Linked DNA regions of Callithrix jacchus. The protein of the gene in region 2 binds, or shares a complex with, the protein of the main gene of each other region. Links are inferred from orthologs where the notes say so. Each region holds a gene or a part of one and is shown on either strand. Other genes may lie near its edges.

Evidence for each region. Proteins that work in one complex are often made in the same cells at the same time.
Region 1: the proteins of IFFO1 (region 2) and XRCC4 are in contact, whole or in part, in a crystal structure (PDB 6ABO), measured with the Homo sapiens proteins. The link is inferred for Callithrix jacchus from reciprocal best matches to the Homo sapiens genes IFFO1 and XRCC4. Residues at the interface, in NP_001317253.1 of Homo sapiens: Arg469, Glu470, Tyr473, Ile477, Gln479, Ile480, Glu481, Glu483, Leu484, Ala487, Lys488, Asp490, Met491, Arg493, His494, Leu495, Tyr498, Met501, Lys505, Leu508, Asp509, Met512, Cys515, Arg516, Leu518, Ile519, Thr520, Gln521; in NP_001304941.1 of Homo sapiens: Trp155, Val158, Gln159, Phe162, Glu163, Cys165, Val166, Lys169, Glu170, Glu173, Leu176, Tyr177, Phe180, Val183, Leu184, Lys187, Lys188, Lys190, Ile191, Leu194, His195, Lys197, Leu198, Ala201, Ala202, Arg205, Glu212.

Annotation. Positions count from the first base shown.
Region 1 is NC_133503.1:127,810,596-127,815,228, forward strand, and holds the start of XRCC4 (DNA repair protein XRCC4), read right to left. Parts: upstream 3,257-4,633; 5' UTR 3,182-3,256; intron 1-3,181. Other genes in the region: TMEM167A (protein kish-A), read left to right, coding at 3,474-3,476.
Region 2 is NC_133510.1:20,741,953-20,746,607, forward strand, and holds the start of IFFO1 (non-homologous end joining factor IFFO1), read right to left. Parts: upstream 3,126-4,655; 5' UTR 3,113-3,125; coding exon 2,340-3,112; intron 1-2,339. Other genes in the region: NOP2 (28S rRNA (cytosine(4447)-C(5))-methyltransferase), read right to left, coding at 4,049-4,655. UniProt on the Homo sapiens protein: Nuclear matrix protein involved in the immobilization of broken DNA ends and the suppression of chromosome translocation during DNA double-strand breaks (DSBs).

The sequences.
Region 1 (4,633 bases), on a different chromosome or scaffold from region 2:
TTTAAAATTTATGAATTATTTCTGGAATATTTTTTCTTTTCTTTTTTCTTTTTCTTTTATTTATTTATTTATTTATTTTTTTGAGATGGAGTCTCACTCTGTTGCCCAGGTTGGAGTGCAGTGGTGTAATCTCAGCTCAATGCAGCCTCTACCTCCCAGGTTCAATTGATTCTCCTGCATCAGCCTCCTGAGTAGCTGGGACTACAGGCATGCACCACCACGCCTGGCTAATTTTTGTATTTTTAGTAGAGACAGGGTTTCATCATGTTGGCCAGGCTTGTCTTGAACTCCTGACCTCAAGTGATCCACCCGCCTCAGCCTCCCAGAGTGCCAGGATTACAGGCATGAGCCACCGCACCTGGTTGGAATTTTCTGCTTAATATTTTCAGACTGTGGTTGATCACTGGTAACTAAAACAGCAGAAATCAAAACTTCAGATAAGGTGAGACTACTGTATTTAGTGCCTAATATATGCAATTCAACCATTCCTCCATTACAATTCCTCCTCTCCAGGGACTTTTAATTTAGCAAAGAGAAAGCCATGCACAATAATAGCCAACACTTTCTGAGGGCTTACTGTATGCCAAACACTTGCCTAGATGATTTACTTGTAATAAATCATGTAATCCTCATAACACTGAAGACACCTGTGCACTGGCTCCACAGAAAAATATAAATATTCACTATTTTTACATACAATTCTAAAATACCCATGATACCAAAGTTGGTAATATTCTTCCAGATGCAGGAGAGATAATAATTTTTTTAACCAGCCAGACATGGTGGCTTATACCTGTAATCCCAGCACTTCGGGAGGCTGAGGCAGGAGGATCACTTGTGCCCAGGAGTTTGAGATCAGCTTAGGCAAAAGAGTGAGCCCCTGTCTCTACAAAAAACGAAATAAAATTAGTCAACTGTGGTAGCATATAGCCATGGTACCAGCTACTGGGGATACTGAGGGAGGAGAATAGATCACTTCTGCCCAGGAGGTTGAGGCTGCAGTGAGCCATGATTGTGCCACTGCACTCCACCCTGGGCCACAGAGAAAGATCTGCTCTGTCTCAAACATAAAAATAAAAATAAATAATTTTTGAACAAAGGAATAACACAGTCAGATTTTACTTCTAGTAAGGAAAGGATCCAAGATAGTTTTAAATGAGGATTTATTACAAAGATCCAGAAAGACTTTTGAAATTGTGATATAATCTGAAAACTAAAAAGTAGGTGATTTATGTGCTTAAAGACGATGCAGCTAAACAACCACCTCCCAAAAATATCTCAACACATCAGATTAACCGATGTTTTACATAAATACAATAAACATTATACATATTTGTTCAGCCTCATTATTGGCACATGTGTTTCTCTGTGGATAACTAAAAAACTGGCAACTTCATTCTTTACTATTTTGAAGCTTTCTGATGCTCTTCACAGGCAGCCTGAAGCACAGCTTCGTACAGAAGTATTATCCTTTAGTGTAACAAAGATCAAGACAATCTTCACATGAAACCAAGAGCAGTTATGTCTACAGACACATTTACTACCCTAAAAGCCAAGCTCAATAAGTTGCATAACATAATTTCCATAACTAAACTAGGTTTGTTTAATTTGAATGGCAAGACTTAAAAGGTACAATATAAAGGAACTACAAGACAGAACATTAAAAGACTTTTTTCTTCCTCAGAGAGTACTGTATTTTTTATACCTTTCTTATTCCCCTCTCCCCCATCCTTATTAAATTCCTTACAGGAATAGACCATCTTTGTTCCTATGCTGCAATCTCAAGACCCCGGAATAAAGCAGGCACCCAGTAAATACTTGCTAATTTGTTTATTTGACTAACTCTTGACAAGTCAATATAACATACTCAAATATCAAGTTAGTTACAGTTTAAAACAAAACCTTACAGGGCGCAGTGGCTTACGCCTGTAATCCCAGCACTTTGGGAAGTTGAGGCGGGTGGATCACGAGGCCAAGAGATTGCGATCATCCTGGCCAAAATGGTGAAACCTTGTCTCTACTAAAAATACAAAAATTAGCTAGGTGTGGGGGCGTGCGCCTGTAGTCCCAGCTACTCAGGAGGCTGAGGCACTTGAACCTGGGAGGCGGAGGTTGCAGTGAGCCAGGATGGTGCCACTGCACTCCAGGCTGGTGACAGAGCAAGACTGTCTCAATAAATAAATAAATAATCTTTGTGTGCCTGAGCAAACAATGTAAACACAAATAGCAGAATCCCAAATCTTCTAATCATTGTATTGCCCTAATACAGAAGGGTCTCATTGGCCATATACAGCTCATAAACCAACATCTCACATGAGTTACCTTCTCTCTCTCTCTATCCACCTTCAAAGTCAATAAATAAAAAATTGATGACATTCTGAAAAGAACCCTCTGCTGCCTGGGAAAAAATACACCACACGTTAAGCACCAAAAGGTTGCCATTAGGGGGCAAAGAGTGAAAAACTCTCACTACTAATACTTTATTAGACTAACAAGAACTATGCAAACTCAAACACATCAAAGCGCCTGTTTCTCCATATATAAAATGCAGCAAGAAAAATGTGTGTGTATGCGTGTGTAATAGAACCTCACCTAATGGAATTAAAATCAGGAAAAGCTAAATACTACTACTGATTACACATTGGCTTGTCATTTGTCTCGCCAGTTGATCTCTTTAAAGCACCTTATCAATTGCTGCACTCCCTAATGGGCAGCCCTTCCCATTGGTTACCACAGAAAGTTCTTTCCTGACTCCAAAGAGCTTAGTACGTTTCAGCTCCCGATGCGTGGAGGGAACCCACAGTTTATCAAAATCTGGGGATTGAAAGGACAGGCCAACGTCAAACTGCCGACTCAACACTACCCTCTGGATTCAACTGTCCTCCCAATTCCACACACAGGGCATTTCAAAAGTGCTTCGCATTCCCAAGAATCCCCAGATGTAAATGGAGAAACTGAAATGGGGGTGAACAGGTAGGTGTGCACCCTGAGGATTTCGGGAACCCTAGGATCCCCAAAAGCTCACAAGAGGAAAGCGCGGGTGCTCACAAATTAAGGGGGATTCTCTCACTGTGGAGTTCTAGGAGTAAATAGCATGGGATTTTTTTAAAAGAAAGAAAAAACATAAAAAGAACGGAACATCAGATTTTTGTTAAGGGGCAGCCGCACTTCCGGACCCTACCTCTCGGAGACTCCACTTCCGGTCTCTTCCGAAACGCCCGCTTTCTCAGATCAATGTCTTGCAACCAATGAGAGTATCATCTACTTCCGCCGGCCTGCGGGGCGTGTTCTAGATCCCGCCTTTTCCGGTGGAGATGAGCCTACCCTAGCGTCTTAATCGCGCGGCCTGGGAGGAGGTGCCATGACAAGTCCAACCGGAGGGCTGGAGAGGGCTAGAAGGGCAGACGGGGCGTGAAGCCTCTTCCGCCTGGAGCCCGGAAGGGTGATGTGGCTGCGGCACCGCCGGCCTCGCTATGGTAAGAAGTTGGGCTGCTGGGTCGCGGTTGAGCTTCAAGACGGGGTTGTGGATCTGGTCTTGGACTAGAGGTTGTGCGGCAGCCCGGGGTGTGTGGGCCCGGGGCTGAGAGGCTGTGAAGCCACGCGGTCACTGCCCGACGAACCGGAGAGAATCTGGATGGACTGTCCAAGGAAGACCCCTTGGTCGCGGAGCTGGCCCCTCAAGCAAAGGCCGCTTTCCTACTTTGTTTAGAAAAAAAATGCCTTGGTGTGTCTTAACTTGTTGGCTACGTAGATTTTCCGTGGTCATCGATCCTTAGAGGCATTAGAGCTTCTCGAGTTTCCGCTTGTTTTCTTGCATCTCCTTATATCGCCCTAGGTGCTTGACTCTGATGTTACTGTTTGATTTTTAGGGGGAAGTTCCTTTGGCACCCATCTCCGTATCTTCATTTTCATCTGTTCAGTCAGTAACCTCTCAGGGCCCCTCCCACATCTTTCTCAACTTTGAAGATGCTACTATACAAGCTATAGGTTTAAGACTTCTCTGCAAAGGTGGATAGCTTTTCTAAGAGCTTAATATTACTTACTGGAGTGATGTCTAGCCTCAGGCCTTCCTCCTGTTTTACCTCCAAGTCCATGTGCCAAATGTTGTGTATATTTCTGGGCAAAAGATGCATGCCTGCGAGTAGACTCAAAAACAACTGTGACTCCAAAAAGCTTGAGTCTCCATGTGAAAAATGATGAGCCTATGTTCACAGAAGTTGCTGCAGAATCCCATATAGCAGTAAATCAGTCTTCTCTGGACGAGTTTACCACCTGATGGAGAAAATAGCAGTTGAGACTAGGAAGACTGTCACTCTTAATTCTTTTACATCTTTCTAGAACATGAAGTTGAATTATTTTACTTGTAGTGCAAGTCAAATATAACTTTTTATCATCTCCCTGTCACATAGACTAGCTAAAAGTAAGATGCATATACTGTGCTTAAGATCAGAAGTATGTAAACTATCTTGTCATGCTTTTTCCAAAAGTAGCAAATGCTTTCTCTTATTAGCATGTCCTATGTTCCAGGCTCTGTTCAAAAAATCAGTTTATAAGCATGGAAATAAGTTCACAACAGCTTCTAAGTAGATGTTTACAAGTGAAAACAGTGAAACATGAAGAGACTGACTTGCCT
Region 2 (4,655 bases):
TTGGCTCCCCACAAAGCCCGGCTCCCAGCCTGCCTGGCTCCCAGCCCCTTCCCTGTGGGTCTCATATGTGCTTCTCCCCTTCCCCCTGGCATTCTCATGCACGCAGTCAGGCCAGTAAGGGGCCTGGTCACATCAGGTTATATGTTTTCTTAGCTAAGACCCTTATCTTTTCTGGGTCTTGGTTTCTTCATCTACAATATGAAGGCATGAACTGTGGTGCCCTCATGCCCTGGAGCCCACAAGTCCCTGGAGGAAGACAGTAAGCCTGTCAAGGGCATGCTAACCCTGAACAAGATGCGTGAAGGAGGGCATGAGGGGCTGCCTGACGGTGAGCTCAGCGAAGCCCGGAAGAAGCTTAAGTAAGACAGTAGCTAAAGGTTAAGCTTAATGAAATCTTACAGGGTAAAAAATCTGAAAATGGATCATCTGGGAGCCCACTACAATTCTATTTGCTCTCCAGCCAGACTTCACACAAACAGGTTCATTTTGACCTCCACTTCCATCTGGTCTCACTTACAAGGTTCCCTTAATATGGGCAGACCTTGAGCGATTTCCATGCATTCTGCATGGACCAAACACCTCTATTCCAAAAAACTGTATCCCTGAGTTGAAGAGAGAAATCAGGGACCATTCCTATGTTGGAAAAATGGGGGCTCAAAAAAAGGTCACACACAAGGCAGGGGAGCTGAAAATAGAACCCAGGAAGCCTTTAGCTACCTCCCAGTTTAGTGCTCAAGCCATCCCAGGCCTTCCAGGCGGAAGACAGGAGTTACAGTGTTGCTATAAAGAGACCAGAATGAGGGCAGGGGATCTGGGGTGGAAGAAGAGTCACTGCCAGTGTCACGTACCATCCGAGCCTAGCTACAGCCCTTTACACAGCAGTGTGCTGCAGAGTGATGAGCTAATCGGTCTCCAAGGAATAACTCTTTCCTGCCCTGGACAGCTGGATCAAGGACAAACACTCCTTCAGTTAAAAAAAAAAAGTTCCTGAGAACAGCAGTTGTTCCTGTGGTTATGGATACATTCCAGAACTGTGCCTGTTCCACTGCTGAGTGTGGCAGTTAACTCCTGCAGGGGCACGGCAGGCTGGTTCTGGGTGGCACCTGAGTAATGATTTCAGGGCAACTGAAACGCCCAAGACGCAACTCAGGAAGCATGAGGACAAGACTCGGACTCGGAAAGCCTGCTAATCTGTGATCTGGCAGACTCCAGCAGGGTAAGATCCCTGAAGGTCTCCCCAGCAACCCAGCAGTCATTTCCTAGAACATTCGGCCAATCCTCACCCAGTGCTGAACCCCTGCTACACTGGGCTGCATAGATACTTTCCAGGCCTGCCCACAAGGGGTCCTAAGAGCTGAGATGAGACCGGAGGCCCCCAAACCAAAGTCTCCTCTGACTGTCACCACCTTCCTCCTCAACCATGCCATGGGTCGGAGTCTGCAAGACACTACCTCTGCTCTCACTCCTGTCCTTTCAGCCTGGTTATCAACCACCTAAGGAATCCTCTTGGTATAGAGCCAGCACTCCTGGCATCACATCCCTTCCCCTCGCCCCTTGGGGCCCAGCTTTTCTCAGCCAAATCTTCATCCACAGACTGCACTGGGCCCGCCCCACCACCTCGAAGTCCTAGGGAGTGTCTGTATCCCAGCTTCTTTCTGCTCAGTTCCTTGCTGGCTCTCCACTCTCCCTCCACAGCTGGGGCTTTATACTGCCAGAGATTCCCCATCAGCTCTGCTTTCCACCCTTACCCTAGGGAATTCCTTTACTCTTTCTTTTCCCACTTTGTTGACCTATTCAAGCAATGGCTTGAGGTCCCGGGGTTTTTCCTATGAAACCAGAGCAGGTACCTGGTTTCCATCAATATTCTTTAAGAAACCCTGGGCTGTGAAAGAATCACTCACTGCAGGGTGCAGCCCCTTCGTCATTACCCCCTTCCATTTTCACTCAATTTAGTCTCCCCAATGTACACTATATCCTTGCCTCCTACTTTTGAAGCTTATATCACTAAACTGCTCCAGGGCTGAGACTGGTAGGGCTCAGACTCAGTACCTTTCACACATCACAAAGCCCGCAGTTAAGCCTGGATGGCACAGAACAAGCCGGAAAAGTAGGAATCGCCCAGTGTTCTGCTCCCAATGTCTTTATTCCTGTCTCGAGTGGGGCTTCTGCATTCTCTAAGGATTCTAGTCCCCGGAATCCAATTCGTTCCAGGCTCCTCATTATACAGCACAAACTTTACTCTCATTCTTTTCACCCCACATTCTTAGGAACCCACACCGACTCCCAGCTGGTTGTGAGTGGCACGACACAGGTCCCTGTCCCCACTTCCCAGTCCCTACCTCCGCTTGTACTCGTCCCGCTCCCGCTTCACTTTGGCCAGCACGTTGTAGAGCGCGCGGATCTCGGGGGTGATGGTGTCGATCTGGACGCCCACCCCATCCGGGTGCACCCACGACAAGCCAGGTCCTTGCACCAGAGTGGGCTCCAGTCCCGGCCCGAGCCGGCGGGCGTGCGAGAAGGACCAGATGGTGCCGGGCATGAAGCGGGCCGATGAGGAATAGGCGGTGGAGGTGGAGGTAGAGGACGACGAGAGGCTGGCCGCGGAGGGGGCGAGGGGGCCGGCCGGCGAGCGCGCGGGCGAGCCCAGCACCCGCGCCGACGGACTGCAGACGGCGGCCGGCCGGGCGCCCAGCGGCAGCCCCAGGGGCCGGATGGGGCTGACGAAGCCGGTCTGCACGGCCTGGTCGCGGCGACCCAGGCCCCGCCGGCCCTGCTTACCCTCCTCCAGCGCTTGCTGCAACTGCTTCTCCAGCAGCCGGTTCCGACGCTCCAGCTCGTGCACCTTGGCCAGGAAGCAGCGGAACCGGAGGTTCAGGGTCTTGAGCACGTTGATGTTGGAGCCCAGGTCATTGCGGAGGGCCATGGCGGCAGGCGGGGCCGGGCCCGGCCCGGGTGGCGAGTAGGCAGCAGGGCCGGCAGGCGACAGAGGCGCCGGGGGCAAGTCTCCTCCCCCGGCGAAGTGGTCACCTCCCAGTGGGTCCCCCAGCGGCCCGGCCAGGCCCTGCTGCTCCTGCTGTAGGAGGAAGAGATTGGGGCCGAATAACGGATTCATGGCTGCGCCTTCTGCTGGGAGATGCAGACCGGTGCAGGAGCAGGGATGGAGGGCGAGCGAGAAGAGCCAATGCGGCGCCGGCGGTACAGGGCCGACCAATCAGGCGGCTCGGCGGCGGGGCAGAGGTCAGGAGGCGGGCCGAGGGGGAAGCCAATGACAGGCTCCAATTGGAGGCCGGACCCTGGACCTTTCCGGGTCTGAGGCCGAGCCCGGGGCTGAGGAGAGCCACCGCCGGGAATCCAGCCGGGGTGGCGTAAAGCCCAGGACCCCATGGGTTCTGGTGACAAGCCCATCTCCCCTACATTTCTTGTTTTTTGAGACCGAGTCTCACTCTGTCGCCCAGGCTGGAGTGCAGTGGCGTGATCTTGGCTCACTGCAATCTCTACCTCCTGAATTCGAGCAATTCTCATGCCTCAGCCTCTCGAGTAGCTGGGATTACAGGCACCCGCCACCACGCCTGGCTAATTTTTTGCATTTTGGGTTTCACCATGTTGGCCAGGCTCGTCTTGAACTCTGATCTCAAGTGATCCACCCACCTTGATCTCCCAAAGTGCTAGGATTGCAGGCGTGAGCCACCGTGCCGGGCCTTCCCCTACACTTGTTGCCTTCTTCCCACAGTCCAAACTCCCCTAACTCTGACTCCAGGGCTCTCCTTTCCTGGGAAGACCCAAGGATGCAGGAGCCTAAAACTGACCTGACTTCTCAGTAGCACCCAACCATTCCCTCTCCTCAAAACCCCAGTCCCACCTTCCCATCTCTACCCTTAAAGCAGCAAAGGCAGTATTCAGTTCCCCCAAAAAATACTCAGTGGCCAGAGGTTGTAAAATGTGTATTAAATTTCATGGGCATACACAGTGCAAAAGGCTTCCTCACAGAGGCAAGAGTTCCAAACCGGTGACAAAGGCAGTGAGCCACCCCAGTCTAGTTTTCAACCATCTAAGACAGGAGCAGCTGGCTGTTGCCCCTGGACTGAGATTTCCTCCTCTTTGCTGGTGGGGGGCGGCTGGAACTGACAAGAGACACAGTGGGAGACTGAGGCCCCTTGGGGGAGCCATTCTGTTTCTGGAAGGCAGCTTTCTTGAAAGGCTGCTCTGGCAACTGCTGCTTCTCAACCCCCTTGGCCCTTCCAAAGGGCTGATGACGGTCCTTAGGCTTAAGGGTGGCCCGGGTCTTGGATGGGGATAGCACAGCCAGTGTTTCTGTGTCTGTGCCCTTGGGAGGGGCATTCTGCTTGAGGAAGGCAACTTTCTTGGAGGACTGTACTTTAGGTGATTGTTGCTTTAGCTTCCCTGTCACCTTTGGCTCCCTGATCCCTTTGGCTTTTCCAACTGGCTGACTGCTATCCTGGAGCCTGGAGGAAGCTTGGGTCTTTGTGACAGAAGGTATAGTGGACAGTTCTGAGTCTGCCCCTTTGGAGATGCCATTCAGCTTCTGGAAGGAGGTCTTCTTGGGATGTTGCTGTTTCTGCAGCTGCTGCCTTGCCTTTGCAGCCCTCTTGGCCTTCTTGGCTGGCTGGCTGCTATTCTCAGACTTGGGGATGACC